Notamacropus eugenii: one gene and its partners. Each later gene encodes a partner of the first gene's protein in a complex. Links are inferred from orthologs where the notes say so. Each region holds a gene or a part of one and is shown in the gene's direction. Other genes may lie near its edges.

What was found.
Region 2: EXOSC7 (region 1) and EXOSC3 share a complex: the UniProt entries of both Homo sapiens proteins name them as parts of the RNA exosome core complex. The link is inferred for Notamacropus eugenii from reciprocal best matches to the Homo sapiens genes EXOSC7 and EXOSC3.
Region 3: EXOSC7 (region 1) and EXOSC4 share a complex: the UniProt entries of both Homo sapiens proteins name them as parts of the RNA exosome core complex. The link is inferred for Notamacropus eugenii from reciprocal best matches to the Homo sapiens genes EXOSC7 and EXOSC4.
Region 4: EXOSC7 (region 1) and EXOSC1 share a complex: the UniProt entries of both Homo sapiens proteins name them as parts of the RNA exosome core complex. The link is inferred for Notamacropus eugenii from reciprocal best matches to the Homo sapiens genes EXOSC7 and EXOSC1.

What each region holds. Positions count from the first base shown.
Region 1 is NC_092874.1:43,355,844-43,363,479, reverse strand, and holds the start of EXOSC7 (exosome complex component RRP42), read left to right. Parts: upstream 1-4,413; 5' UTR 4,414-4,552; coding exon 4,553-4,609; intron 4,610-7,636. UniProt on the Homo sapiens protein: Non-catalytic component of the RNA exosome complex which has 3'->5' exoribonuclease activity and participates in a multitude of cellular RNA processing and degradation events.
Region 2 is NC_092874.1:316,499,270-316,507,145, forward strand, and holds the start of EXOSC3 (exosome complex component RRP40), read left to right. Parts: upstream 1-4,860; 5' UTR 4,861-4,928; coding exon 4,929-5,237; intron 5,238-7,876. Other genes in the region: uncharacterized protein, read right to left, coding at 1,959-2,000. UniProt on the Homo sapiens protein: Non-catalytic component of the RNA exosome complex which has 3'->5' exoribonuclease activity and participates in a multitude of cellular RNA processing and degradation events.
Region 3 is NC_092875.1:85,960,202-85,967,966, forward strand, and holds the start of EXOSC4 (exosome complex component RRP41), read left to right. Parts: upstream 1-4,358; coding exon 4,359-4,529; intron 4,530-6,510; coding exon 6,511-6,717; intron 6,718-7,765. UniProt on the Homo sapiens protein: Non-catalytic component of the RNA exosome complex which has 3'->5' exoribonuclease activity and participates in a multitude of cellular RNA processing and degradation events.
Region 4 is NC_092872.1:214,259,472-214,267,814, reverse strand, and holds the start of EXOSC1 (exosome complex component CSL4), read left to right. Parts: upstream 1-5,106; 5' UTR 5,107-5,212; coding exon 5,213-5,249; intron 5,250-5,340; coding exon 5,341-5,456; intron 5,457-5,637; coding exon 5,638-5,712; intron 5,713-6,722; coding exon 6,723-6,811; intron 6,812-7,574; coding exon 7,575-7,608; intron 7,609-8,343. Other genes in the region: palmitoyltransferase ZDHHC16, read right to left, coding at 372-400, 580-668, 864-1,058, 1,276-1,518. UniProt on the Homo sapiens protein: Non-catalytic component of the RNA exosome complex which has 3'->5' exoribonuclease activity and participates in a multitude of cellular RNA processing and degradation events.

The sequences.
Region 1 (7,636 bases):
GCAACATGTTTTTTATTCTAAGTTATCGTGTTTAATATTTCCCAATTACATTTTAATTTGGTTCAGGCTACGCTTGGGAAGTGTTGTAGGCTGCATTGAGGCTACATTTTTGACACCTCTGCTCTAAAACAGCAGTTCTTCTCCTCTTTTTTGGGTCTTGGATCCTCATTCTGTCAGTTTGATGAAGTGTACGGCCCTTTAGAACATTTTTAAAAACACACACAAAAATATATAGCTTTATAAAGGAAACCAATTATGCTATAATGCAGTTATCAAAATATATTGAGTCCAGGTTAAGAATGCATCTGTCTAAAGACATGCATTCCTCTCTCCCTATGCAGCAGTTCTGGAGTCAGCCTTTTCTTCCCACCTCCAATCCAGTAGACATCCCGGCTAGGAAAATCTTACTTTGAGACATCTCTACTTTCTCTATACCAAATATCCATCTTCTGTTCCTAAAATCCAGTCTCATATCACTCTAACCACACAAGTTTTCTTTAGTCTTTCAATGCAACACACCTCTGCAAAAAACATACCCCTACACGTCTGCAGCATGGGGACCCTTGGAGGTGACCTTCCCTTTGCTGACTTGACCTTGTCTGTATGTTGTCATCTGCATGTTGTCTCCCCCATCAGACTTTGACATCCTTGTGCCATTCTTTGTACCCCCATTTCTTAGTACAGTGCCTGGTACATAGCAGACACCTAATAAATGCTTATCGACTGACTAGCTGATGTATTCCCACTCACTCATTTTACAGATGAGGAAACTAAAACACAGTGAAGTTAAGTTACTTACAGCAAAGGTCACATCATTCGAAGTTGTGCTGCCTGAATTGACTACAATCAGGTCATTTGACTACAAAATCAATACTCCTGCATGGCCACTTTGTATGGGAGGAGTAGGGAGAATGATACCATCTGTCTCCTCTTCCAGTAGCACAAAGTCTTAGATAGTAAAGAACCATGTGCTTTTTACCTCAGTTCAGTGAGATGGAGCCTTGTGGATACTCAAATATTAACCAATAAAAAATTCTACTGAGAGCTGAGGCAAGGGGGAGGGTGGGAGGGTTCTTAGCAGGGTGCATTAAAGTGCTTTCAAAGGTGATTAAAAATGGCCAGATGGGAGTACATAGGCACCAGATATTTTACTGGAGAACATTCCATACTGACAAAGTTTGGAGGAAAGAGTCGTTTTACTTTGGAGAAAAAAGAGGATTCAGTGAGAGTATGAGTTATTAAAACTCAACTTTTTCCATAATAGCTCTTTAAAATCCACTTTTTTCCTTTGACAAATATCGTTTGAAATTTCTTCTGCCCAGTCTTGATTACTAAGAAAAATGGATTCCCAGGGTGATCTTAGCCTTACCTTGCAGGTATTATGCATTTAAAAGACAATGCCCACCTCAACCACCACAGCAAAGCCAGGGCTTACGTTTCCTTGGAGCACTGCCTAAAACTCACCACCTACCCAGAAAAATGCTGGAACTAAGAGGCCTGGCTTGTTGGCTAGTGGAGATGGCTACAGCTGGGCCTCCTCAGCCTCTCCTTGCCCGGGCGCTAGGTCCTCAGAAGCTCCTTTCTCAACATTCATTCTGCAGCCCTCCCTCGAAGACAGGCAAGCACCAGGTTTTCAAGAAATGCTGCTAGTGCCTGCCATGGGTCACACGATATGGCCAGATTCTATTTGCCACCCCCTCCCCCCCAACCTTCCCCAGTCTCCAAGCAGACCATGGGCAGCAGCCTCCTACTGGGCACCATGTCCATCATGAAGTGCTCTTCCACTCACAGCTGTCCCCTCCCACTATCAGTCAACTCACAAAAAGACCAGGAAGTGAGCTGCAAGGAAGTATTCCTCAGTTCCTTCCACAAACTACTCTCCCCTTAAAATCTCAGAAATCGAGAAAAGAACACCCCCACCCATCTTATCAGATTTAGGTGGTGAGAAGTAAAAAGGGAAGAGTCAAAGCATGGGAGGAGGGGAGGAAAGCCTGGGCAGAAGAGCTTCAGATGGAGGGGGGTATTCATCACTCAATCCCAGACGCACAGAGCTGGAAGGGACTTCAGAGGCCCTATCATTCTAATAATTAAATAGTAATTGCTTCTCTTTTACCCAGGAAACCTGAGGGTCTTCCTCTCCCAGTTCAATTTTTTTTTAAAGGGGTAACTATTTAATTGAATGGGTGTATCTCACTCAAAGTGAGAACATGATAAGACCTTAACCTGAAAGGGCCAGGGTCTCACATTGCACTTATCAGGCCACTGGATGCTGATGGCTCAGGAGAAGAAAGCGAGGCCAGTGACCTTGCACAGCCCTCCCTCACTCAGATCAAAGTCAACTGCAAGTCATGTCATCGTCTTGATGTCACGGTCCTCTTCGAGAACAAAGGACAAACACAGCAACAATCATTCTACCAGTAAAGAAGAATCCTCTCTATAGCACATGGGTCATGCAGTATTGGCTTTGAGACGTTCAGAGATTGAATTGTTGGGGTGTTTTTCCTCACTCCAACCCCATCCCCCCACACAAGAGCCCTTCAGTTGAAGATGGCCATCCATGTTGCACAGTCCCTTCTTTCCCCCTCACTCCTGCATCTTTTACCTGCCTTTTACCACCCTAATCCCTCCATTCTTTCTGGAGAGTATCTTGTCAAAGTCCTTCCTAAAAGGAAGGGACCCTAAACAGAACATAAGATCCAGATGTGATCTGGTGAGAGAAGAAAACTGTGGGTTGAGTACCTCCTTAGTTCTGGGCACTGTCTCCCTAAAGTGGACCAGTATGGCATCAGCTACTGTGGTCAATGTATATGACACCATTAACTCATGCTGAGCTTTGTCGATGTAATTAGCTATATATGTCATTTACAAACTTGATAAGTTTTTAATATGTCTTTATCCAATTCACTGACTAGAAAAGTTCAAATAGCACAGGACCAAGGAGGCAGTGTGGCACAGTGCAAAGAGGGCTGCATTTGAAGTGAAAAGGCCTGGGTTCAGCTCCATCTGTGCAACCCTAAACAAGCCCCTTATCCTCTCTGGGCACCGGTTTCCTCCTCTATAAAGTGAGGGGGCTGATTAAATGACTCTGAGGTTGAACTAGTACTAAATCTACTCTACTATCTACCCAACAAACTTTTATTCATCAGCATTTACAACATGCAGAGCATTCTGTTAGGCAATGAAAAAAAATCACCTACATAAAGGTTTAGAAAGGCTTTCAGCTCAATCTTGGGAGATAGATCTGTATTAGTCTTCCCACTTTATAGATGAGGGAGCCGATTTTGAGGAAGGTTAAGTGATTTGCTCATGGTCACACTGCCAAAAGTCAGACTGGTTCAGAGATTTGAATCTTCTCAAAATCCAGGACCTTTTCGCCTTCGAGCGGAGGTGAAGAAAGGAAAGAGGGGAGGCAAGGGCAGGGGCACAAGGCTGTGGGGGTAAGGGGAGGCAGGAAGAGGGGCAGGGAAAAGAGGAGCGAGGGGAGAGACAGAAGGTGATAGGGGATGCGGAAGAGGCAAGTTGAAAAAGGGAGCAAAGGATAGGGCAGGGGAGAGACAGAGATCGAGGGAAGGGCAAGGGGAACAGGGACCAAAGAGTAATGCGGGGACGGGGTGAAAAGTGGAGGCGGCAAGGGGGGAAGGGCAAAGGGAGGGGCGAGGGATGATAGTGGAGCGGGGGAAGGGAAATGGGGAACAAAGGGAGGGGCAGGAGAGTAATAGGGGAGCAAGGGAGGGGCAGGAGGTAATAGAGAGGGAGGAGGGAAAGGGAAGCAAAGGGAGGAGCAAAGAGTAATAGGGGAACAAGGGGAGGGGCAGGAGGTAATAGAGAGGGAGGAGGGAAAGGTGAGCAAAGGGAGGGGCAGAAGAATAATAGGGGAACAAGGGGAGGGGCAGGAGGTAATAGAGAGGGAGGAGGGAAAGGGGAGCAAAGGGAGGGGCAGGAGTAACAGAGGAGCAGAAGGGGGGGTGATAAAGGAGAGGGGGAGGGGCAGCAGGTGGCACGCGAGCAGGGGGAAAGGGCAGCTGAAGAGGAGTGCCGGACGGAAAGGCAGCAAGTGTGGGACCCGGGAAAGTGGAAAGGGGTGAGTGGTGGGGCAAGGGGAGCACGCAGCCCCGGGGCAGCGGCTCGCTCCGGCAGACTTCGCTAAACTCCGGCGCCCAGGAAGAGACTCCCGGCCGGCCGGCAGGTGCCCCGGCCGCCCTCTGGCCCTCGGTCCGTCCCCAGCTGCCCCCCGGCGCCGCCGCCCCCTCGCCCTCCCGCCCTCGCTCTGGGGGCCGCTGCCGCTCCGGGGCTCGGGGGCCGCGGCTCCCGGGACTCACCCAGACTTCGGGGCGGGGCGCAGGAGCAGCCCATCGGGCTCTCAGGCGGGAGGCAGCAGCGGCGGCAGGAGCGGCCGCCGCTCGCTGATGACGCGGCGGGAGCGGCCCCAGGGGCCCTGGCGCGGGCGGATGACGCCACAGTCGTGCGGGGAGCGCGACGTCCGGAGCGGCGCCGAGGCGGAGGGCTCTGAGGCGGCGGCGACGGCGGCCGAAGCGTGGCCGGACGGGGCCTCATGGCGTCCGTGGCGCTGAGCGAGGCGGAAAAGGTGTACATCGTGCACGGTGTGCAGGTAACGAGCGAGGAGGCGAGGCGAGGCCCGGACCCCTCCTGCCTCGGCCCCGGCGCGCTCCCCCTCAGCCTTCCCAGACGCCCCCTACGCGCGTGCGCCCTGCCCTCCCTTGGTCGTTCGGAGGCTCTGCGCGCGCACGTGGGGGCCGGTGTTTGGGGAAAAGGCTTAGAGATGGTCTACTGTAGAGCTGGAGTAAGGGATCTCAGACTACCCTTTCTTACAGATGGGGAAACTGAGGCCCCAGGAGGAGAGTAAGTGCCTGGCCCCAAGCCCCGTAGAGTTAATTAAGCTCGGAGGACTGTGGTGAGCCTCCAGTGAGATGTTTGTCAAGCTCATTGTAAACGTCTGGACGTGTTAGTGTTCCCCAGAGTCGGTCAGGCAGCAGAGAACTGGAACCCAGACCGTCCACCTCTGGGTCAGATAAGCTGCTTTTGTCTGTTAAGCGCTTCTTCTGGCCCTGGCCTCCCCTTCCGAGGTGGCCTCGGCGCTTGGCGGCATCCTGATGTTACATTGTAGCTGCTCAGGCATCCTCCTGTTACATTGTAGCTGGGCTCGAAGTCGGGGTCCGGAGGCTGGCACTTTCTCTGACTCCCCGGAACTGTGGTTTTTATCCCAGACGAAGAGACCTACAGAGCACCTTTCTTTAGCTCCAAACGTTGCCCGGGTTAGCTTCTCCCATCAGTACCATAAATTTCCCAGATCCAGCTCGGGTTGAAGGAAACTCAGAAGTTCCTGTTAGAAATAGGGTAGGAATGTTGGACCCAGAAAGGGAAAGTATTCCTGCCTACCTGAGTATTACCTCCCCGAATAGCAGATGATGTACTCTTTGTCAGAGTTCTTTGAAAAATAACAATTTTATAGGTGGGTGAGGTGATGTTGTGAAAAAGATTTCACAGTTGGCACAATTGCATTGGAAGCTAAGACAGAGCTGTCAGTTACCCCTAGGATTTGGCAATTTACGTACCAGAAGGTGTTGGGATGGTTTATTTGGCTTGAAAGTTGGCAATCAACCTCTGAAAGCGACATCCCTTCCCCCACCCCCCCCAAAAACCAGAAAACCACAACAAAATGTCAGCCTTTCTCTGCTGTCATCCTTACTGTCCCAAGCCACTGCTACATTCTATTGCCTCCTTTCCTCTCTATTGCCCTTCTCCTCCCCTCCATATAATCACACTTAAAGCTAGATGCCTGCCCAACTCATTATGTTTTATTGGCTAGGATCATTAGTCCTCTCTGTTGTAGATTAATGCAGATTTGTTTTTCAATTGTTCCTCTCTGCCTTCTCCATTATCTCTGTTTTATAGCTGAGGAAACTGAAGTACACAGTAGCAATTTACCCTGGTTGAATTTTCAGCCTTAAGAGAAATAGAGAGAGCTCGATTCCATCTTTTTAATCTCCAGTTTATCCAACTGGACCATATGCATTCTCCCTGGGAAGCTGGGGAAGTGGAAAGGAGAGCTATTAATGAAGCTTCACTAAACAAATCACCTGGGTCTTCCATGGCAGTTCTTTGCATGTGCCACATTTAGTCACTTGACTTCCTCCACAAAAGGATGCTTTTTCACTATACCAGGTTTGGTTGGATGTGTCTGAAATTATATCTATTTATTTTGCCTCTTATTTTCTTTTTTTCACACCTTGCTCATCCCCTCTCACTGGGAGTTTAGTCACCTTGGGTCAGATGTCCATTCTGCATTTCGGTATTTTGTCTCTAGTAGTGTCAACAAGGCATAGGGTGTTTTTTTTAAAAACAAACCCAACAGTTTGTTAATCCCCCATGGTTTATCCTTTGCCCAATCTGTCTAGTCTTGACAAGAACATGTCCCCTAATTCTGTGGTGGCTATTTTTAATGACCTTGGCTGTACAACAACATTTCCACAAACTATTGCATGGAATCCTACTGTTCTATGTGATAGGGACAGAAGTTCCATGAGAGTTATAATTATACTTTTCTAAAACATTAAATATGAAATTATGTCTTTACAAAAAATTAAATACAGCATCTTTCAGTATGAAAATAGGGTTAATTTTCTCTCCTGCTCCATAATTTCATAATTTCCCACTCTATTTAAAAGTTTAAAAATTTCTTCTTAAGGGAAGTTTATTTTGAGGTTTGTTGGTGGGGGAGGCAGGGAGGCAAATGGAGCTACACAGCTAGTGTCTGAGGCTGAATTTGAACCCAGGTCCTTCCGACTCCAGGGCTCGTCCTCTATCCACTGCTCCACCTAGCTGCTCTTGGAAAATGTTCTTTAAAGTTTTATTAATACTTTTACTGTCACTTTGTTATATAACATTGCCTCATCCCTCTCTTGTAACTACCCCTCCCCCAAATAATCCACTTATACAAAATCAAACAATACAGCATTTGTATCTGATGATGTAGGCAACATATGCTCCGCTACTCCATTGTCTCTTCCTAATGGGCAGAGAAGTGGGTTCCAATGTCTGTCTTCTGGTCACAGCATTTACTCTTACCTTTGTTTTTGTGTCAGAGTGGTCATTGTGTACATGTTAGAATCACAGAATTTGGAAAGAACCTCAGTGGCCGTCCAGGCCAACTGAAATCTGATCAGTTATTCTTCTGCTTTTGCTTCGTTCAACCCTCCTCAGGTCACTTTGGCAAACCTTTGTTAAGTGCCTACTGTGTGCTAAGTGCTGGGGATGCCAAGACAAAAACAAAACAGTTCCTGACACCAAGTAGCTTAAATTCTGCTAGGGGGAAACAACATGGACATGGATAAGTAAAGAAAAAGTAATGTTTTTGGTGAGGGAGGAGCAGAGAGCACCAAAAAATAGGGAAGGTTCCATCACTTACCAGGCTGAGTGCTCCCAGCATTGTGATCAGCCTGGGCAGTGGCATGGAGGAGACATAGCAAGGAGGCCATTTTGACTGGAATGCAGAATGCATATAAGGTAGGAATAAGAAATCAGTCTAAAAGGTTAGGACCAGATTGTGAAGGATTTTAAATGCCAGATTGAAAAGGTGTTGGTGGTTGCTTTACTCTTGGAGCCTCTTAAGCAGGGA
Region 2 (7,876 bases), about 270 Mb from region 1:
TGTGATCTTAGACTGCTTGAAGAGGGTCTAAACTTCCAGGAATAGAGGTTATAGTCCACTGTCACCATTTCCCTTTCTGGATGTCCAACAACAATCTCTTCAATAATCCAGTCTAGAATTTTCCTAGGTATCCAAGTCAAGGTCAACTTAATCAGCATTTATTCTTTTCACTGTGATTTGATCAATATCAGATTTTATCAAATTATGATTTTATTAATGAATTAAACAGAACAGGGTTAAGTTTGAGGTGATTATACCACCAATTATATTGCCATTACTAAAGCCAGGTGGTGAAGTGGATAAAGGGGCATGTGTAATGGGAGTTCAAACTCTTCCCCGGCAGTTGAGAGGCCTTTGGTGGGACTATTCAGGGTGACTGAATCTGTATGAAGACCCACACCTCTTGATGATTGCAAAGGATGCACTGGATCAGGAGATATATTGGAAAAGCGTATATATACACATACACACATATGTATATACTCTGAGGTGAGGTTCTACTTTGGGGCTTAGTTTTTGGAAGAAGGTTCTTGTGCCCCCCACTTTGAAAACCCGGATGTCTGTGCTTCTCTCTCTCTCTCTGGTAACATGTACGTATTGCCTACGGTCAGTTAGAAGCTCTGTCTGTTGGTATATGTAATTAAAGATTGTTTACTCCTTCTTCAAGTTGCTTTCCTTTTAGAAAAGCAGATCTAAGACCTCCTGGGTGCCAAAATGCTTGCTGTTACAGCCTGGAGTCAGGAAGTTCAAATATGACTTCAGACAATTACTAGCTGTATGATCCTGGGTCAGTCACTGTCTGCCTTCATTTCTTCCTCTGTAAAATGAGCTGGAGAAAGAAATGGTAAACCACCCCAGTTATCTTTGTCAAGAAAATCCTAAATAAGGTCACTGAAAAAAATAACCCAACAACATCATGTTCTACTTGCCATTTTAACTTCTTAATCTAGGACTAGGTTTACTGTCCTGGACTTGGCATGGGAATTCTGACAACTGGTAAAGGGAAATGCCCACGAGGAAATACCCTCTTACCGATGCAAACTGCCACTTGATTTGCTATTTTTGATCTTAAAACCTTATCTGGGGGCACTTCCCCAAGGTCTCAGGATCAGGCTCGAGCCTAAGCCTTCCTGCCCCCTTACTCAGCTCTCTGCTCCCTACACCAGACTGCCTCTCCATAACTATGCACAATAAAAGGTGGTCTGGAGTTAAGCAGGGACACGAGTTCCAAGGTGACCTCAGACACTTAACTGTGTAACCTTAGGCAGGTCATTTCACCATCTGTGGAAGTAGCTGCTGCTACATTGTTACAGAGTGGCTGTAACAGAACGAGCTCAAAAGGCTGCGGTGACAATCCGATGAGATATTTACAAAGCTCCCGGAGCAAAGCTGGCGCAACAAGACCGCTTAAGCCCCGCCCCCTGTAAACAAACAAACAATTTAACTGAATTGTAACCTTTACCATCTGTGGGCAGACATTTCTCTGAGACCCAGCTTCCTCTAAAATTTGATCCCTCACATTTGTAACGGCGTTAAGACTCGGGACACCACCCTGAAAAAGCAAGGGGGCGATCACCGGCTCCTCCCACCAGCGACCTGAGACCCTGGGGGGTCACCTCCAGCCTCGTCCATACCACAGATAAACTGAGTCCGAGGAAGGGAAGGCGGGCCGGCCACACGGCCACGAGGCCGCCGCCGCCCGAGGGCCGGAGACCCCTAGAACTACCGTGAGCGCCCTGAAGGGGAGACTGTAGCCAGGGACGCGCATGTGAGCGCCCGCGTGTGTGCCGCGTGTGCGTGTGTGATGGGCGCGGAAGGCACCAGCACCACCCAGGCTCCCGGGGCGGGGGCCGGGGCCATGGCCGTGACCGAGGCACGCGCGGCCGGGTCGGAGGGCGCCCCCCCACCCCGCGAGGCGCAGCGTCCGGCCTCCCGCGGCCCCGGGCCCCGCAACTCACCGACGCCAGCCCCGGGCGCAGAAGGCGGAGGAGGAGGCCCATGGCGCAGCGCCCCGGCTCGGCTCCGCTCCCGCCGCCGGACCCTCGCCTCCCGAGCCTACGTCCGGGCGCGGGGAGAGGACGAGTGAGGCTGCGCCCGCGGGACTCGCCCCTTCGGCCCCTCTCTGCCCTCCCCGGGAAGGGTCTGCCCACGGAGGGAGGGGCGGCGCAATTCCGCCCACGTCTCGCCCGCCCCTTCCTCTCTCCTCCCCTCCTATTTCTTCTCTTACTTTCTCTCCCCCTCCCTTCCAGCCTTTTTCTACCCGCGTCTCTCTTCCCTTTTTCTCCCTGGCACGCTTCCACTTTCCCTGCTCTCTCTGTCTCTGTCTTTGTCTCTCCCTGTCTCTCTCTGTCTCTCTGTCTCTCTCTTTCTCTCTCTCTCTCTGTCTCTGTCTCTCTCTGTCTCTCTGTCTCTGTCTCTCTGTCTCTGTCTCTCTCTGTCTCTGTCTCTCTCTGTCTCTGTCTCTCTCTGTCTCTCTCTCTCTCTCTCTCCTTCCATCTGTGTTCCTTTCCCAACCTGGAGCCCTAGGAATTCCAAACCCAGGCTGAGGGAAAGGAAGGGATCTGACCCTGACCCCAACCGTGACCGTGCAGCCGCTAGGACCCATCAGTGCCATGGGTGATACAGAGATGAGCAGCCTGCTTCTAGGAAGCGACTGCATTTTGTATTCTCTTTAGGAAATGCCCCATCCACCCTCATCTGTCATCACCCGATGGGGATGCAGAAGTAGCCTAAGAGGATTCCTGAAAACTCTTCCTTTCCTTTAGCTACAGATCTTTTTCAGGAGTGAATTCTCTGGGAATTTTGGAAGTCCAGCTCAGAGATGTTTCAGGCAGGAGAAGCATCGGAAAGCTGGCCTTAGAGCCAGAAATGGTTAAGTACTAGGATGCACATAGTGCTTTAAGGTTGGCAAAACACTTCCCCATTTACAAAGAGGAATTTTGAGAAAGATTGCCCATGGGCACACAGCTAGGGAGGGTCTGAGGCACAATTTAAATTCAGGATTTTGCTGATTCTGAGTCTACCCCTCTATCCCTTGGGCTACCTAGCTGAAAAATACAAAAGGTTAATTAGTTATGAGCCAGCCTGTGTGATCATGGACAAGTCACTTACTCTCACTACTCCAAGCAGCTCTAAAAACATGTTACAGATGATTGATAGAGCAAGGGAAATTGATTTTAAAAAACTATATAAAATTTCCCCCAATCCATCTTTTCTCCTAATTTTAGCCATTTTTTATTTTGTTTGTGCTTTTTAATTTTATTAAATTTGAATAATTTGTGTCTATAAATGAAATATGTGGGGGTTTTTTTAGGCCGGAATGTGAGTTCAAATGTGGCCTTACACACTTGCTAGCTTTGCTTAAGGGTATGAATAATTAAAAAAAATTAAACTTTCTCACTTTCTGATGCCTTGTTTTGCTGTATCGTCTGTGAAGTGTGTATGTGTGTGTGTGTGGTTGTATGTCTCAAAAGGTGGGACTTTTTCAAAAGGTCTAGGATTCTGGGTTTCTGAGAATACAGTACTATTACTGTATAATCCTTGACTAAAAAACTAGCAATTTATAGATAAATTATTTCATAGTCCAATCTAATGAGTTTTCCTTTCAGGAGACAGCTTTTTGCTGATGAGACACAGTAGTAGAGAGGCAAGAACCTAGGATTTGGAATTAGAAACTCGGGGTGTGCATCATAACTGAGCTATTTATTATTGGAGTGCCATTGAGGCAAATCACTTTCCCTTTCTGGGCCTCAGTCCCTTCTGTAAAATACTAAAATGTTTTAGTTGGAAAGATGGGAAACTGTAGGAATGAACTGTTGCATGGGACTTTTTTCCCCTTTGTGGATAGGAAGTCTCACTTGGAAAGAAGCAAAGGTAGAGAAAGAGAAGAATTATATTCAGAATTGACCTTGATGTAAAACAAAATGAAACAAAATGAGATAAAATGAGAGTTGGAGTAGACATATAATCTAGTCATTAGATGATCTCAGAAGGCCCATTTAAGATAAGTCCTATGACCCCATAAAAAAACCCTTGAGAACTCTGAGAAAAGTCCTACTTAGAGAGGAGGGACGTGGGGTACCGGGGTAATCGGGGTAAAAGCTCGGGATCCAGCACTGAGAGGATGACAATCTGGTCTTGGACTTGGGTAGGCGGGAGCTGCCCAGGGAGGCGGGGCCAGGGAGAAAGGGGGCGGGGTCTAGGAGCAGTCCGGTGTACAGTTGAGAGGGGCGGGGCCAGAATGGAACCACAGGGGAAGAGGCGGGTCTGGAGTGGGTGGGGCTAGGACTGGGCGTGGAGGTTCGGTGCTCCGCCCCCTCCACTGTCCGGAGTAGAGAAGGGCTTCTGGGGGAAAGTCCCGGACTGCTCCTTAGTTCATGCAGGACAGTGCCACCACGAAGGCGGAAGGTTGCTCCTCCTCTTCTGTCCCGAGGGTGGGAGGAGCTAAGTCGGAGTGGAAGGGTGGGCCATGGCGGGGGGGGGGGGGGGGGGGGCAGCAGTTCTTTATCACGTGGAATGGACACAGCAGAAAGAGGTGGGGCCTTAGGGGCGGGTGCCTTCACTCACGTGGGCTGGAACTACTGTGCAAGGGGCGGGGTCTGGGAGGGCTCCAGGGTCCAGGTAAGGTAGGGGCGGAGCCCTGGCGCATGGGCCTTGTGGGAAGGAACAGTTCTCTAGTCACGTGGAATGGAACCACAGTGGGGGGGCGGGGCCGGAGCCGTTCCTCCTTCCCGCGGGGTGTGGCGCCTCGGCGTAAAGGCGGGGCGGTGAAGAGCTGTGCCAGGCCGCTCCTCCTCACGTGACGTGTACCCTGAGCGGAAGGGGCGGGGCCACCTGTGGCGGATGTGGGGTTGCTCTGCTCCGGGGCTAGAGACGTCGGGTCCTGCAGGGGTCGCTGTGGAAGGCCCCGCAGCGGCAGCGGCTGCTCGATGGCCGCCCCGCCGATCCCCGGCTCGGGGCCGCGGGTGGCGCGGACCGTGCTGGGGCAGGTGGTCCTGCCCGGGGAGGAGCTGCTGCTGCCCGAGTCGGCGGGGCCGGGCACGGAGGGCTCCGTGGAGCAGACGCTGCGCTTGGGGTCGGTCGTGCGGGCCCGCGCCCGCGTGGTGTGCGGCCCGGGCCTGCGGCGCTGCGGAGACCGCCTGCTGGTCACCAAGTGCGGGCGGCTCCGCCACAGGGAGCCCGGCGGAGGCGGCGGAGGGGGCGGCGGCGTGTACTGGGTGGACTCCCAGCAGAAACGGGTAAGTGGAGGAGGCCCGGCCCGGCCCCGGCCTCGAACACGCGGAGACGGCCCCAAGCGGGATCCCGGCCTCCTGGCCGGTACATGGGAGAGGCGAACTCGCTCCTCCCCGGAGGGCTCCCCTAGCACAAGCAGAGCCCGGCTTTAATCTTGGGGCTCGGCCTCAGCCTCCCCATTTCCCTTGGCCGGCGCCCCTGCTCTTAGACGTCTTCCCCTTGCTCTGCTCTCCGGGCTCCGGCTGCGCTTCCCCTTCCCTGGCACGTGCCTCCGCACCAGCCAGGGGTGAACGCTGCCCTCCCGAAGGCCTCTCTGCCAGTCACTGCCCCGAGCCTGGCTGGGGCGTACTGGAAGGGGCAAATGTGCATGTCTAGTCCTGTGACTTCTCCACCTAAAACCTTAGCGTCTGTGGATTACTGAGTAAAATTCAGATTTCCTAGGCCAGCAGTTAAGAGTCGTTCTAAAGTTTGATGCCGCCCTGCTGTTCAGGTAATAATTGCTCACACACATTCTCTTGAGGGCCCTTCCAGTCCGTATTGTGCCATTAGACTCAGGCCCCGGAGGAGAGAGTGAGGCTGGTGACTTGGCACATTCCTCCCTCGCCTACATCCAATTCACGAACAAGCCATGGCACCATCTTCCTGACGTCATTCATAGTCCTCTTCCAGAACAACCTCCGAGTAGTCTGAGCAGCCCTGCTGGGCACCCAACTGGCCAGTTCCATTTGGGTGGTGCAGCTCCTCCATGCACATGGGGTGTCACATCCTTACCTGCAGATGCTCTGCCCCAAAGAATGTAAATTTTGATGACAAACCTAGCAAGATACCTTGGGGTTTACTGGCTGGATTCCTTTCTGAAAGACCATGATTGACCAACAATAGGGTCCGTCCCAAGCCCCACTTAGTGGTCATCTTTTTGACCTGGGTGGCCCAGAGTCAACATAAATTGTAATTGTTTCTGTTTGGGCCAGAAACTCTGAGGGTGTTTCCCTCCCAGATTGGGTTTTGTTTTTTTTAATTAGGAGAAAGGGGCCATTTTTTACCTGGCCTTAATCACTGGTTGGGGGCATTGTCTCAGTCAAACTGAGACCTACTAAAGACCTTAGCTTAAAAAGGCCAAGGTATCCCTCTGCATCCAGGGCCACCTCCAGTCTTCCTCATCTATATCCTGGTGAAGCTGGTGACTTCGCTCAGCCCTCCCTCACTTAAAGCCAGTTCACTTGCAAGTCACGGCATCACCTTGCTGATGTCCAAAAGAGAGGATAAACGACAACCACATGTTCTCCACTGTCCCTCCTTTGTCAGGGCCTGAAATGTGACCTTTACCCATCACCTCCCCCACCCCTGAAAGTTGGGTTTACTGCTACTTCCTGCATACAGTCTTTCTTAATCTATTATATGTTCCTTGAAGTCAGGGGTTATTTAATTTTTGTCTCAGTATCTCGTGCCCAGCACAGTGTATGTCACAAATACTTACTAAGGGATTTTCTGCAGCACCTCCATCACCCAATTGTTAATTGTCTCCTCTCTCCATGAGGTAGCATTTTGCTTATAACTTAAACAAATACAATTCACTTCAAGTATTTAAATGCTTACTATATACAAGCCATTATGGTAGGTTCAAAAAATAAAGAGATAAAAGCCACAAAATTCTTGTGCTCACTGTGGGAAAGGACAAATAATGTGTTCATAGATGAAGCATAGTAATAGATTCCAATAAGATTATGGAATGATGGCTGTAAAGGAGAGACAGAGGTAAACATTTGAGAAGGAGGAGAATATTCAGAATGGATTGCTGATGGGGGACACAAGAAGCAAGATGACCTGTTAGGGGTTTACAGTAGTCAAGGAGAGAGGTGCCATGAGTGATACTCTTCTAGGGTAAACTCCATGAGGACAGAGATGGGTTTTATCTGTCCTTTGTATCTCTCTCAGTGCCTACGTGGTAGGTCAGTGTTTGGTGAATTGCACTTGGTAAGTGCTTACTATGCACTGTGTGGAGTGGAATGGTATATGGACAGTGTTAGCCAAGTAGCCCAAATTTCTACTCTGAAAATATTTTTCTAAAATGCCAGAAAAATAAACATAACTGGATATTTATATGGAGAAATGTATAACTCAGTGGATAAATGTTATCTGGATAAAATTAATGGATAAATAGCTCAATTTGAGATAGTTTGAAGCTAAACTTAATTACTGAGAAGAAATTTATCACTGGGATTATCTTATTTTGATTTGTACCTTTTCTGTATATTTGGAATTTATAATTCAGCAAATAGTCGTTTGTTTACTGTGTGCAAGGCACTGGACTGAGTGCTGAGTGATCTCATTGGTACAGACGTTCTCTCTGAAGACAGCACCCTGTCCCTGCCCGTCTGTTCTGTGCAGTTGTTGTCCATGACTTGTCTCCTAAGTTTGCCTGTATATCCAAAGGTCAAAAACCTCTACAAAACAGTGTCTGCCCTCAAACAGGTTATATTTTTCAGCATATGATATACATACATACATATATATATATATATATATATATATATATATATATATATATATATATATATATATATATATATATTTAGATTTTTCCTTTCAAAGAGGTCTCATTTAGGGATGTGGCCTGTACTTGAGCATTGCCTATATTTAGATT
Region 3 (7,765 bases), on another chromosome or scaffold:
AGCTCACTGTATACTTTCTCAGTTTCATCAGTTCCCAAGGGTTCAATTATCATCTCTATGCAAATGACTTTCAGATCTGTCCAGCCCTGAGCTCTGTCCTGGATTCACCAACTCTAAGTTCACCTCTCACCTGTGGCTCCAAGAAGCTGTAACAAGCACGGCAACCACACCCCAGTAAAACTCTCTTGGCAGATGGCCTAAACCAGGTTGAGGGTGGCTGACAGGCCTCAAACTCATCAGTGAATTAGAGCATATCTATCTCAAGCATATGAAGACTTCCCCTGGCAGAATGGGTGGATGAAAACAATTTGTTCTAAGTGCTATGGAGGAAGTATTGTGAAGCTCTTAGAGCTCAATCAGACACTGAAGATTCCAAGGTCATCCACTGCATCCCAGGCAATTGTCAGTCATCCTGACTTTTGTCCTACTATTGGACTTTGATGACTGTGGAAGAGAGAGTAAGCTGATGGCCTCACCTAAATCCAATTCATGCACAACTCAAGACATCACCTCATGATATCATTGGTCTTTGAAAACAAAAGATGAACAACAACTGGAAATCTATTGGATGTCCCTTAGACACCTGTGTCCAAAATATTTGCTCTAAAACCCTCCTTCTTCCAAATTTCCCTATTACTGTCAAGGACAGAACCATTGTCCTGGTCATCTAGGCATGCAACCTTAGTGTTATCCTCATTTCCTCACCCCACATATCCAAAGTGTTATCTGGACATTCCTACCTTCACAACATTTCTCCTATGTCTCCTCCCTCCTGACATAGTCTCCACTCTGGTGCACACCCTCACTAACTCATCCCAGGACCAGTGCAATAAGCTGTGGTGGGTCTGCCTGCATCAAATCTTTCCATACTCCAATCCATCCTCCATTCAGCCACCAAAGTGATTTTCCTGAACTATGGATCCAACCATGTCATCACCATCCTCCTCAATACCAACTTCAAATAAATTCCAATGGCTCCCTTTTAGCTGTAGGATTAGATCCTGTCTGGCTTTTCAAGCCCTTTAGAACCAGGTCCCTTCCATCTTCTTATCCTTTCCTCCCTTCTACAGATGCTCTAATCTAGCCACACTAGCCTCCTTGCTCTCCCTCATTGGACATTATCTCTTGATTACTGCAGAGATCCCTGATCTTTTTCAAAAATTTACCTTACCTAGACTTGTTGCCTCACCCAACTAGAAAACCTTACAAAGAATTTAATCTAAGGTGAATTCAGGGCCCAATTCATTCCATTCAGGCAGATCTGGGCAAAGGGATACAGCCTTTGTCTAAACTGCCAAAGGCTCTGGGTGATTTGGAAATAAATGACAAGACCAAAGTCACAGACCCCCAGCAATAAAGGTAGATCGCCATCCTCAGGAACAGCCACTCTTTCAAGGGCATATAAGCATTGGGTGGGTTCCATGAAGGGTCTCTGGCATTTGAGAGTGTCACTGATCCCTTTTATTAATTATAGGGCAGCATGATTAATAAAATGCTTAACTACTCAGAAACTATGTCCCTTGAACTTTTTATATGTCACAACTCCATACCTTTTCACTGGTTATCTCCCTTGTAAAGAATGTTCTCATTTTTCACCTCCATCTCCTGGCTTTCCTTCAAGACTTAATTCAAATTCTACCTTTGGCAAAAGGCCTTTCCTCATGTCCCCCTCTACCATTTCTCCCCATCTAGTGCCTTCCCTCTGAGGCCACCTTCATTTAATCCGTATGTATCTCCTATCTATTTACATGTTGTCTTACCCATTGAGATGGCAGCTCTTTGAGGTCAGGAACAGTTGGTTTACTTTTGTGTCCCCAACACTTAGCACATAGAAGCCAGAGTAAATCTTTGCTGACTGACTGTTCAGAGTAGAAACTCTCTCCATAAAGACGGGACTGTCTCTTGTCTAAACTCTATCTGCCCTAGCCCACTGCTTTGTACAAAATAGTCAATGACTGAATGTTCTTTTCATTCTCCTACCTCTTTCACTTAGTAGCCAGATGCAAGGCATTCACTTTATCTGGGCCTCTGTTAGCTCTTCCATAACACAAGAAGTTAGACTAGATAATCTTTGAGGTCTAGCATGCAATCTTCAACAAAGTTATACCATTTGGATTTAGGATTTTACTCTACTACACCTTTGTCTCCAATGATCTGGTCCCAGCCCTCATTCAGAGACACAAGAGGATTTATGAGGGTACGGGGGAGCAGCGGGGGAGTATTACTGGACCTTTTGGGTTGGCCTAGGTTCCTCTTCCTCCAACTAGGTGCCCCTGGAACTGGACTAGGCATTCAAGGGGCACTCTTCCCCTAGCATTTTGGGTTGCAATTTCACATTTTGGTGCATACAGTTTATAATCTAGAAAAACACCTCCCTCCTTCCCCCTCCCCCATACTTTTCACTTTTCACATTAACTAGAAGCAGCTAGATGGAGCTGAGGTCTGAGTTCCAGAAACTTTCTGTGTGACCCTGGGCAATTCACTTAACCTCTATTTGTCTCTGTTCTCTCAACTATGGGTCATCTCCAGCTATCCTGATGAATATCAGGCCACTGTACCCAGATGGCTCGGGAGAAGAAAGTGAGGCTGGTGACCTTGCACAGACCTTCCTCACTCAAATCAAGGTCAACCGCAAGTCATGTCATCATCTTGATGTCATGGTCCTCTTCAAGAACAAAGGACAAACACAATAACAACTATAAAATGAGTATAATAATAGCACCTACTTCCCAGGGTTATTCTGAAGATCAAATGAGATAATATATATTTTTTAAAAGTTCCTAGCACAGCCCTGGCCCATAATAGGCACAATACACGTGCCTCTTCCCTTCCCTTAAGTGCTCTGACGTAGTCTCTGACCCTGCCCCTGCCTATCCCCAAATTCCTGGACTTGTTAAAATAATTTTTGGAACCCAAATTTAGGACTTCCATCATTTCATATTAATTTCTTAGTGTTAGATTTAGTCAATCATCCCAAATTTGAAACATCTTTTTGGATCCTGTCATTTTTTTTAACACCTTAGCTATCACTCATGTCCAATAGGTACCAGCATCTAGGGTCCGTTACCCCATTTACTGGTGTGCCCCCCCAAATCATCTTGTGCTTACTTAAACATGCATACATGTAATTTATGCCTGCACAATGTCCACTGTATTTGTCCCCCCAGGGCCTGACATTCCCTTCCATAATCCAGAAGCATATTGGCCTTCTCACTGCTCCTTCCTTCAGGGACGTTCTATCCCCTGACTGAAAATCATCTCCTGATTCTGTACCTTTGCAATGGCTCTTCCCCATACCTGGCACGCTTGGCTCCCTCTACTCGTGGCTTTCCTATCCTTCAAGACTCAGCTCAGATCTCACCTTCTGCGGGAGGCCGTTCGGAGTCCTGTCTACTTCTAGTGCCTTTCCTGGGATTACCATTAATTTACACAGCATGTATCTTGTAACAGATGATTTTTGGCATGACGCGTCCCCATCAGAAAGTCAACTTCTTAAAGGGGGGGGGGGGGAGTATCATCGCTTTTCTCTGTATCTCAAGCGCTCAGCACGGTGTCTGAACACATGGTAAAGTACTTAATTACAGTTTGTAGACGGACTGAGGGACAGAGCAGGTTCTTAAGAAAGGCTGTCCGATTGAACTGGATATCACATAAGATCAACTTCCATAGATGGTCCTTCAGAGCTGACTCAATGGCTTCCCTACGATATTGGGGGTGGGGAGCAGGCGCTGTCAACACTGCCTCTCATTCTTCAGATGATCAATTACCGTATTACACTGTATTGAGAGTCTTCAGGGACCTTGGAGGGCAGCCAGTTCAGCTGTCTCATTTTACAGATGAGGAAACTGAGGATTGGAGAGACGAAGCGGCTTGTCCGAAGTCCCCTAGCTAACAAGAGTCAAGAGGCGGTACTGGAAACCAAAACGGATCCTCCGACCCTTGGGCCAGCAGCGTCTTTAATCCTCGGCTAGGAATCTGCGCTCGAAGTCCGCGCCGGCGGGGGACCGCCTAAGGGCTGAGCGCCAAGGACCGGAAGCTAGAAACTGCAGCGGCGCAGGGGCCGCTAGGAAATGTAGTCTGAGCGGGAGGGGGGCGCTGTTTGCAATCCCAGCTTTGTCTCTTAGGTGGGTGGCCTCCACTAAGTCTTTTTGCCTCTCTGGGCTTCAGTCTTCTCCTTTGTAAGTTGGACTAGACGTCTTCTGATGTCCTTCCTTGGTTTAGACCCCATGACCCCGTCGGTGTCAGAAAGAGCAGAAAACCGGAAGCGCGAGGCCGCCGGAAAGCGGGGATAGAAGCAGGAAGTAGTAGGGGCCGCCGGGAGGTGTAGTCAGGATAGGCTAGAAGGGGCTACAACAAGCATGGCGGGATTGGAGCTGCTGTCGGATCAGGGTTATCGCGTGGACGGGCGGCGGGCTGGAGAGCTGCGCAAGATCCAGGCACGGATGGGCGTCTTCGCGCAGGCAGATGGTTCGGCCTACATCGAACAAGGCAACACTAAGGCGCTGGCCGTGGTCTATGGACCCCACGAGGTGCGAGGCGACCTCAGGATGCTTATCGGGAGGGAGAAGAGGGCAGTGATCTCACAAGGTCTCGGACCAATCGCGGCCTTTCTTGAAAAAAAGAGCTCCCTCTGCATTGGGAAGGGGGCGTGACCTCACAGGGTCCCGGACCAATCGCGAGCTTCCTTGAGAAAGCCTGGAGGTTGAGATGGGGATGGGGGGGAGGTGCGGTTCTTTAGGGGAGAAAACTGAGAACTGAGGCTGCGGGATTTTGGTATGACGTCATTTCTGAATCTGCTCTCCACCGCCCACCCCCCCCCCCACCCCCACCCCACCCCCACCCCCCCGGTGGTGCCGAGAGTCGCTGCTACGGTCTCCTCTGGTTATCACCGCATTAGTCATCTCGCTGCTCCCCTAACTGGCTCGGAGACCGCGAGGTGTAAGCAAAGTGGGTGGCAGGAAGTAAATAGATAATTAATGCTTGTCCAGTGGCTGATCCTGGAGGGCCACTGAAGCACTTTGAGCAGGGAGTTAACGTGGTCAAACCTATGTTTTGGAAAGTCTCCCTTTTTGGGAAATAAAGTTTTTCTAACAGTCCTCACACTTCCCTTGGAAGCCACGAGGACAAACACAATAGAAAGGAGAGGTATATGATTATTTTATGTTGGATCGGGCTGAACCTGTGATTTTTTTGATATATGGGACTCCCAGCAAGGAAACTCATGTCAATACGGACCTAAGCCTGCTTTGCCCCTTATAGTAGTACATGTTGCCAAAGGCAAATCTGACTACTCTGTAAGTTTCAGGCTACTAAGTAACAGTGGACAGAGTTCTGGGCCTGGGCTTGGGAACACCTGACACTAGCTGTGTGACCCTGGGAAAGTTACCCTTAGTTTCCTTAGCTGTAAATTGGGGATAATACTACTACTGGCACATATAGGCACTATTTATTGTTGTCGTTCAGTCATGTGAGCTACAACATGTGTCTACATCTGCCATGTATCTGCCTCTTGTAACTCACAAGTCAACATGCTCATCTGCTCACATATTGGCCTCCCCAGTCTGGACCCCCAGAACTTAGGCAGAAGTTCCATCCTCAAGAAAACTGAGCTTTTATGAATACCTGAGAGCAATCTGGTCCAGAGATTATCTTTTGTTCCGGGTGTGTGTGTGTGTGCCATTCAAGTTCACTCGTATACCGTAGGGGTGGGGGATAATGTATGATAGTAGATGCAATAATTATCTCCCACTGCCAGACAAAGTCAAACCCTTCTGACTCCGGAAGACAAGCTGTGCTACATATGCTGAGACTTTCCCTGAAGGAAATCATTTAGCCCATTCTGGACCCTTTATTTAAACAGAAGCTGAAGGCCCATAGGAAAAGGAGATAGAGAGCCTACTAGGCCCTTCCTTGGAATAGTCCATTGTAGAAGGGTATAAGGAAGAATCCTGGGCACTTCCTGATTCCCTTGGGAAAATAGGATGAGGATGGTGGAATTAATTCCATGAAGGGCAGGGGTAAGGTTAATCAAGGAGAATTCCCTGGATGTTGATAAGCCCAAGATCTATGAGGTGACAGGTCATTATGTATTGAAGTGAATATGGGTATTAATGAAAGGAAAAGATCATTGGTGGGGTAGAGGAGTCTTGAATATTGAAATAAACACTCTAGGATGATCCCAGTGTGTCAGGAGATAGAGTATTATAAGAATACTGAAGGTTAGACCTAGAAGAGACCTTAGAGGTTATCTACCCTGCCCTCCTCACTTAAAAAAATGAGAAGTCCTTCCCAGAGAGCTTAAGGAATTTGCTGAAAGGCACATAAGTTAGTAGGGTTTCTGTTAAAACCTGGGTCTCCTTACTCCTTGGGAGTAATATGCTGGCTTTGTCACTTATTTGACTAGGAAGCTACTCTCCAGGGCTTGATAAAAGGGAGGGTTGGGGGAGCGGGGGTGACTCCCACAGCTCCTACTTAATAAATTCCTATGTCTCCCCTCCCTAATTTTCCTAGATGCGGGGCTCTCGGTCAAGAGCACTGCCAGACCGAGCACTGGTGAACTGCCAGTATAGCATGGCCACTTTCAGCACTGGGGAACGGAAGCGACGGCCACATGGGGACCGCAAGGCCTGTGAAATGGGCCTCCAGCTGAGGCAGACCTTTGAGGCTGCCATCCTGACCCAACTATACCCTCGCTCCCAGATTGACATCTATGTCCAGGTAAAGATGAAAATTTGTATTGGAGGAAAAGGTTAGAAGTAGTAGACTTTTGGCTTAGATAAGTGAAGGTCAGGATGGTATAAAATGGGGTAGGTATTTAGGAAGGTCTGTCTCCTTGAGAAAACCCTGAGTCAGAAGACGTGGTTTCTAGTACCACTTAGTTTACTTATCTATCTTATCTGTCAGACAGGGGTGATAATGCCCTCCCATCTCCTTCACAGGGCTCCTGTGAGGGTGATACAAAGTAAAAGTATCAGAACCAGGACATGGGACAGAAAAGGAAAGGGGATCCAGAGATGGCAGCGCCTTGCCCAATAGTCAATTTAGTAGTAAAGCTAGACTTGACCCCTGGTCTCCTAACCCTTGCTAGACATGGTCCTTGTCCCATGAAACTCAATGGGCTCTTTATCCTCTACTGCCAAGAAGCTCTGGCTACTGGAGAGGATACCAGAGTATAGATCTGCCTCTCATCCTCCAGTGGCTCCACTGTAGTCTGCACACCCTCACTGAGCCCAGATACTCTTCTCAGGAGTAGATACAGCATCAAAAGAGGAGACATCACTCTTGCTGTGGTGGGGCTTCCTAGATGGAATGTGGAAGCATTATTCTCACAAATAACCATAGTATGAGATGGGGTGTGACTAGGGTTGTGAGTGTTGAAAGTGTGCTTCGGGATCTCAGATGGTGGCACTCCCAACTTGGCCAAGATGAGAAGGGGATCAAGAAAGACTTCCTGGAAGAAGTAACACTTGAACTGAGCCTGGAACAATAGACAGGATTTCTAAATGCAGATGGAGTAGACAGAAAGGAGCCAATTTGGGAAGGGAGTGGAAGGTGGGGAGGGTGGAAGGGAAGCATTTATTAAGAAATTATGTGCTAGGTACAGTACCAGGGCCTAGGAAATGAAGATAAAAATAAAACCATCCCTGATTTCAAGGAGCTTACATCCTGTTGGGGGAAAGATTTCCACATATGGGTATAAACAAAATAAATGTGAGCTGACCAGAGGGAAGAGACTGGTGTCTGGGAGGGAATTAGAAGAGGATTC
Region 4 (8,343 bases), on another chromosome or scaffold:
AAGCTACATTCCTATCTCTACAGCTGAACTTTTCTACAGTGCCTGTCCAGTTCTCTGCTCATTTCTTTTCTTCAGGAAATAATTGGCTTCCAAGCCTTTCTTCCTCCCATAAGATCAAATTTTGCAGAGAGAACAGCTGAGGCTACATTTCTCCAAAGCCTCTAGGCCTGTTTTTTTGTCCTAGTAAAAAGCCATGTTCTCCAGTAAGTATCATTTAGTCTGTGTTTTTTCCTGAGTGTTTTAAAATACATTGGTAGTGGGTGGGGAGGGGGTTAGGAAAACTCCTGCTGCTTAAGAGGCAGAATCAAGATTTGGAAAGGAACAGGCTGGCTGGGCATCACTGGATTCAGGGAGTCTTGGTAAAAGGATACGGCAGTGGTGATCCATTTTCAGCACACACCTGTTAGGAGGAAAAGGATTTTGCATTACCATAGAGCAAAATAATGAGAGGCAACTTGTGCTCAACAAGAGTTGCTGTTTTTAGGGATTATATTAGTTTGCCCCTAACTTGCCTGACTCTAGGCAAAGGGCAAGTACGAAGGCCAAAGAAAAACCAAGGAAATAGGAGAAAAAGCCAACCTGTTACAGATGCTGCAGTGGTGTGTCCGCGCTGGTTTGGGATAAATGCACTTCTTGCAGATAGAAACAGTAGCAAGGTCAGTCTTAGCCTATATCCGAAGAGAATTGGTCATGGTCTCAGAAACATTCTAGTTACTTAAGGGGACCTTTTTTTGAAACCAGTGACAAGGAAGAATTCTTGAAAAGTTCTGCTCCCAAAACTTGTTGCCCCTTTACTAGGATTCTAGGTTCCCTGTCCTATTAGTTTGACCCTGGTGTCCTGCTGTGCCTTCCCTGAGCCCTACCTGGGGTGGGTATCCAGGAGGTGTGGTGATGGCCTGGTAGTAGTGGAAGACGATAAGGATGAGGTTCCAGTGACTGTAGACAAAGTGCCAGCAGATTCGGGGCACTGAGTAAGTATGGAGAATCAGGGGCAAGACACACAGGTAGGCAATAGCAACAATGGAGCTCGTCAGTACAATCACCAGGGCCACAAAGACCTGTCAACAGTAGGAAGTCAACACTCATCTGTGACTGGAGTATGGAAAGATGGCACCCCACAACTAAGGCAGTACAAGAGGAGGAAAACAAATAGAGCCTGGTTTTGTAAAGTATTTTGTGGAGTCTTCAGATCAAGCCACCTATCCCCATCCTTTCACCCAAAAGTCACACATCTCTCATGCTAACCCCAAGCCACATAATCCTGCCAACACTCACCACCCCAAACCAGCGGATCACATTGTCCACAAGCCAATAGACAGGCTCAAAGGCAGAGTCAATGGCAGTGTCACTGCCCCCAAAGGAGTTGTAGAGCAGAGAGCGCAGACAGACTTTTCCATAGCGCCAACGAAGTACAAGGTTCCGAAGTAACGATGGGCATCTGCGTCTGTAGCCCAGGAGGAGAAGCAAACGCAAGCATAGGCGTGCTGGCCCCAGCAGTAAGGACCGGCGGCTTCGCATGGCCTCCTACAGCAAGATAAACAGGCGGTGAACACCTAAACTCCTGCGCCCCACCAGACAAGTGAGTCAAGTAAGGGCTCTCTGAGGTCACACTCAGCCTGCCCCTAATGACTTACTTATTCCAACAACCACAGGATAGAGGTGCTAAGCTTAGATTTGAAGAATCAAACTTAACTAAGTATACAAATACAGGAGCTCACATGTTTAACAAATAGTACTGAAATTGTAAACCTCCCAAATGTGAGGTAAGTAATAAAAGTAGTATTATGCCTGCTTTCCAGTTAAACAGGCTGGAAGGTACAGTAGCATGACCAGAATCACATCTAAGTTAGGATGTGAATCCAGATCTAAATCCAGCAGTTTTTCCATTACACAATGCTTACTCTTAACACAAGAAGTAGACTAACACAAGAAGGATGTAAGTCCCGCCACTAAATGACACCTCTTGCATCAAGAGGGACAAAAGAAATAACTGGCACCAAGCAAAGTCTTCCTCTGGATTTCTCTACAGAATAGGAACCAAGAGGGCAGAGGAAACCTTAAACAGCAAGAACAACAAAACCACTGCAAGGAGAGAATGTGACAAAGCGTGTGGCCTTCTGCAATGGCAGAGCTGTTGAGGAAGCTGCCTGTCACCTAGATCTCCCTCCTGCCCACCTCCCACTCACCTCCCACTTCTAATGCTTTCCACTCTTTAGCTAAAACTAGCCACATCAGTATACGAAAGCATTCTGGAGTGGATCCTGTTCCAAGGTCTTTGATGCCATCTATATCCTTGGAGAGAGCTATCAGTTCTCATCTTCTGGACTGCTCTTACAGGCTCAGAGACCTCAGCCTGGCAGCATAAAATTCCCAAGCTTTGCACCTTCCATTCTCAGTCCCAACTATCACATGATGTTGGGACAACAACTCATGGCACTTTGTGGTTACAAAGCTGTATCTCCTTTGATTCTCCAAAAATCCCGAAGAGATATGGAGAATAAAAATGATTGTCCCCATTTTACAGATGAAGAAAAGGACTCAGAGATAAAAGGACTTCCCCAAGATCACCCAACCAGGAAGTAGCATGGCCTGACTTCAAGTTCAGATCTTAGGATTTCAAGTCCTGTGTTCTTTCTCCTGCCTCTTTTGTGACATAAATCTTGACATCTTTTCTAATCTCCCTATTCAGAGGCTAAGGGAACCACCAAGATATGGGTAGTAGGATATTGTCACTTCCACCCTAGAAGTGACATTTACTGGGGATGTCACATATTTAAAGGTTGCCTGTGTCCCTTTTCTCAGACTCAGATCCTTCTTGAGAACATAATCTGGCCTGTGAAGTTTAGTCTTTTCCTGAATTAGTTAGAAGTCAACCTAATGATCCTCTTAACTGCCCCCCCACCACACACACACACACACACACACACACACACACACACACACACACACTCTCTTTGTTCAAAGCAGAAACGCCTTCTCTACAGTGATTTCCCCTCACAGGCCTGCTTCTTAGCTTATCTCCCCAGCGCTCCAAATTCTTTAATATCTTCAAATATTTTCGTTCTCTCTGGCTGTGGAATAATACAGCAATGGAAGAGGAAAAGACACCTAACCAATATCTTCAGCTACAGACTTCTGTGGATACCTGCACCAATTTTGTGAATGAGTCTATCTCTTATGGAAGAGCAGATTATCGGATTTGTCATGTGGGAGGCAGGAGGGTGCTACTCTGCTCTCAACTCTGTTAACTTAATTATTTAGAATGAAGTCTGAAACCCAGAAGAAACCGGAGGAGGTCTGCATATCTAGGCATGGTTTCAGTTCAGTAACTGGATCAGTGTCCCTTCCTTCCACCCAAGAAAAGCCTTTAAACACAGGTATTCCATCTCCTATTCCTGCACCTGACAGATAACGAAGGAAAGAGAGAAATGGAGAAAGAGGGAGAAGGTGAGGGAGGGGGGAGAGAGAGGGAAAGAGCCAGCAAGTAGTACTGCTCTGGCCAGAACCTTAAAGCAGTCAGAAGTGATGCTGTCCATCAGGATCAGGAAGCTCTCCAACTCCCTGATATCAGGGCAATCAGGAAGAAAATATCGTAGGATAGAAAATGCAGGAACTTTGAAGCTCCCTCAAGACTCAGCTCAAATCCCATCTTCTCTTGGAAACCTTTCCTGGTTCCCCTATTGCGATTACTGCCTTCCCTCTGATTTTTTTCTATCTACTCTGTTTAAATCTTATGGATACCTTGTTGTTTACAGGGATCCTACGTTAGAATGGGAGATCCATGATCCCATGTGCCCAGCACATAATTAAATATTTAAATAAATGTTTAATAAAATAAAAATAAAATAATTAAAAATACTAATTAGCTGACTCTACAGTCATTTGATTTAAAGTAAGGATTTCCAGAACAACCGACAGGCGTATTCAAATGCAAAAACTACAACAAAAATCCTCTGCATTTTGAAACTAAGCAAAAATTTTAAATCCCATTTTGGGTTACATACACTACACCATTTTAATTGGTAGATAATAACAAATAGCTTATACTAAACTAAATAACTAAATAAAATAACTAAAATAACTTTAAAAAAAAACACTAGATGACTTTCCTAAAGGGAATAAATTCAGATTAAACAGCACTATCCTAAAACTCTCCATTCCTCTAACATCAGAGTGACCAGAAGTACTCCTCCACAGACTGTAACCTGAGGAAGTTGTCTCACAATCCTGTCTCAGCCCCTAAACTTGCAGTTCTCCATCTAATCTCCCCCTCTACATTTGCTGGATAGGTTTCCATTTGGGCAAAGGCATGGAGGAGGGAAGCGTTGCCCCGCCATCTGTCCATTCTAGGGTCACCAGCCCAGAGACGAACTTCCCCGTTTGACCTGAAGGCAGGTCCGCGGATAACTGGATAAAGAGCGTTCGGGGATGCAGGGCTCTGCCTCCGAATACGGGGCTCCGCAGAGGTCAGTAACTTTCTAGGGGGCCCGCGGGTGGACAGACAAGGAGGCAGCGACGTGACCCCGTCACCGAGCTCGGTCCGCCCCATCCCAGCCAGCCCCGAGTGCCAGGTAGGGAAGCAGAGCCACCACGGAGGGGGAGGGGCAGTGAGCATAAAGAAGCCCCTCCACCCCCTCCCCAAGGGCTTGGAGGTATCCCGGGAAAGACGAAGCCCCCCTTCCTCGGCCCCCGCCTCAGGAACGGCCCAGGGCGCACGGGCGCAGCCACTGACCCCTCTCACGCCCCGTACTTCCACGCCCCCCGCGGCTGGGGGCCCAAGATCCTGAGGGAAAGGAAAGAGGTGGGAGATAGAACCTTGTGACCCCGGAGGTCGCCTTACCTCCTGTCTGTCGGGCAACGACCCAGTCCAGCCCCGAGGACTTCACGGCTCACAGCAGCCTCGGCCGAAGCCGACCCCGGCCCCAATCAGCCAGAGCCACCATCCCCAGTCCCCACCTGCGGCGGCGCCAGGACCGCTACCACCCCGGCCTCCCCTACGGCGCAAGCGTGGGCAGCCTGGCGGCCCGCCCTCTTTTCTTCCTCCCAAGGTACCCTGGGAGCTGAAGTTCTGGGAGGAGAGGGAAATCTCTGAGGAGGCCCTGGAGAAGCCACGTGGTACGCCAGCCAATTGGCAGTTCTGTTACTCGGGCCCTCAACTTCGTTTCGACCAATGGATTGACGATCGGTCTCTCGCAATGGCTGTTGGGAGATCATGGCTATGGCGCCGCCGATGCGGTACTGCGTCCCAGGTGAGTGAGCCCCGAGGAAGGGTTGCCGGCCCGGCGAGCTGCCGCTGAGGGCCCGGATGGGAGGGATGGACACCACGTTTGTCCTCCGCAGGCGAACGACTGTGTAACTTGGAGGAGGCCAGCCCCGGCAGCGGCACCTACACCCGGCACGGCTATATCTTCTCCTCGCTCTCCGGCTGCCTGGTGAAGACGAGCGACAACGGCGAGGTGAGGCCGGCCTGCGGGGCCTCGCGGGGCGCCGGGGAGCCCCGTAGGCCTTTGCGTCCCCAAAGCCTGGGGTCGGCCGCCGGACGGAGCCAGGGCCTCTAGCCCCACTGAATCCGCCCCGTGGCCCCCTTGACCTGGCACCGAGTAGAGCTCAGGCCCCTGTTCTTCGTCCCCTCTGCAGCTCCCGGTGGTGTCAGTGACCAGAGAGACCGAGTCCCAGCTGCTGCCAGATGTGGGAACGATCGTAACGTGCAAGGTGCGGTAATGCCCACCCGCCTCCGAGCTCCCACATGCCCAGGGCGCCGGGCTTTGCCTCCGTCCGCCGGCTGCAGTAGTGGTCAGGGCTGCTGGTTGTTCCATCGTGTGACCTTTTAGACTGTAAAAACCCCTTTCTACTTTACAGGGAATGTCATTTTCCTACTCGGTGGGTACCCGGTTCTGAATTCTAAAAGCTGGGGGATTTATTCTTTAGGAGAAAAAAACGAAAGCAAAAATCCTCACCGTTCAGAGGTTCTAGCGAACTTCAGATCTCATTAGACATTTTTAAGGAAAGAGACTATGAGTTAATTTTGTGTCACTAAAGTTTCTCCAGGATGAAAGCTAGAGTAATGTTAGTATCTTCATAAATAGCCCCAGCAGAACAGTATGTGTTGTAATGTTGAAAGAGACTGAGGAGCAGTGGTACTAATTCACATTTCTACAGGATGTTCCAAAAGGCTTAGTGCAATTTTAAGCTTTAATAGGTTCCCGTGTCTAAGATTTAATAACTTAAAACTTCACTAAGACTTTTGGAACACCCCATACAACATTTTGCACTTTATAAAACGTTTTCTGTGCATGCTTATTCCCGTCTTCACAAGAACTCATTGAATTCATACAAATGTCCCAGTCTTAATTTTGCAAATGAAAAGACAGCTTACAGAATTTCAGGTTTTTAAGTCTATATTCTTGATTCGTTAAGGTCCTAAAAGACCGATGGCTCAATTGTCCAAGGATTCGAACCTGCTGGAATGCCTTACATTTGTTTACTTCTCAACATGCTTTCATTTTATTTCATGTGATATTCTGAAATAGGGCAAATTTCCCTAAATTATTGAGAAAACTGAAACAGAGATTAAGTGAGTTACCTAGTTAATAGGATAGTTAAGAGTAGAATTTATTTCCCTTAATTACTTATTTAGAAATCTCTGCCATATATCACCAGGATTTCTTTATCTGACAGCTGCTAATATTTTTAATCCATCCATTATCTTCTCTATGGCACAGGTCTCCAGCATTAATTCTCGATTTGCCAAAGTACATATATTGTATGTGGGATCCACACCACTCAAGAACTCCTTTAGAGGCACTATCAGGTGGGAAGCTTTTAAATTTATTTATTTTGCTTCAAAACAGTCTGGGATTTTAAACAAAATATTACAGATCTACATCCATCATGTTTCTTTAATATCTCTGCCTTCCTTTCTCTGTGATCTCTCTTGTGTTTCACAGAGAAAGTTTGGACTAGGGTAGTAAATTTGACTGAAGTATGTGCTTAGCAGGCATCAGGGTGATATGTGTTCATCCAGAGTTGATTGTAAGTTTGTTAGGCCCTATTTCTCCTAAAGATTACATGTAATTGCAGTTGTATAGGCCAACCCTGGTGATTATTAGAAATGGAGGAAATTACTGGGTAGGGTTCTTTTTCCCGAGTTTTCCCTTGAAAAGGGGACAGAAATCATTTTTCATGGATGTAAGATCATTTATTCTTCAATCTCTGAAAGTCTCTTCCATCCTAGGATTCTGAATAGCTGTGCAGTCATTTTCTGCCACTTCTTTCCAGGAGGGGCTAATAAGTTTTCTTATACCTTCGCATGTCTTAGCTATCCTGAAACTTCCTTCTCTCCAGACCCATCCCTAGGAACAATTGCTGGCTATTCTATGTGGGCCTCTTGTGACAGGATAGAGGTCTTAGCCCAAGATGTAATCTTGGGATGTGTTTCCATCTTGTGCCTCTGGATGGCAGCTAATTAACAAATATGATTCGTCCCAATTCCAGCAGCTACTCTGGCCTTGGTCCTAGAAAGCAAGTCGTTGTTTCTCTTGAAGAATCTTTTTTTTTTTTTAATTTCCTTACAGGAAGGAAGATGTTCGAGCTACTGAAAAAGACAAGGTAATGATTTTTTAAAAAAAACTTAATAACTATGGAATCTCAAAGTTCCTGTTATTGTAATTAATTTCAAAGACCATATTTGAGGACAAATATATCAGAGAAAGAGTCCCCGGTGATACTAAAGTTGTCATTTTTCTACTACTACAATGATTTCCCCTCTTGCCACACTGCCCCCCAAGTCCTTTTCTCCCTGTGGATTTTTTGTTTATTGACCAGAGAGGAACAATTTGCTCTGTCTTCTAATTTGGTACATTTTTCTAGAATACTTAGTAACATTTCTTCAAATTTAAGTATGGGTTCTCACTCTAAGCCAGATATGGGAGCTTTTAGCTAGGTCAAAATCCTAGGTCCTGGCACTGTAGATTTCTAAATAGATACTTTGTTCCTTAAAGAGTAAAATGGATTAAGATGAACAGGTGTGATTTCTACCCGCTGGGAGAAAATGAGCTGAATTCAAATGAAATGGTTAATTCCAAAGCAAATAGATCCACTTCCTAGCTCCATATGGTCACTTGGAACTAGAAAAATCTGTAGAAAGATGGGATTCATTCATTTTAGTGAATTGAACATGGTTGATCTGTGCTGTTAGAACCTCCTGCTAACATGTCAGCCAGCTTCACAGCCCCCACATCATCCTGAACATATTACTAGCTCTTACCCCATATGGCCAGATTTTGCCTTGTATACCCCTACAGCATCTCTTACTTTGCCCTATTTCCTACTCACACAGCCCTT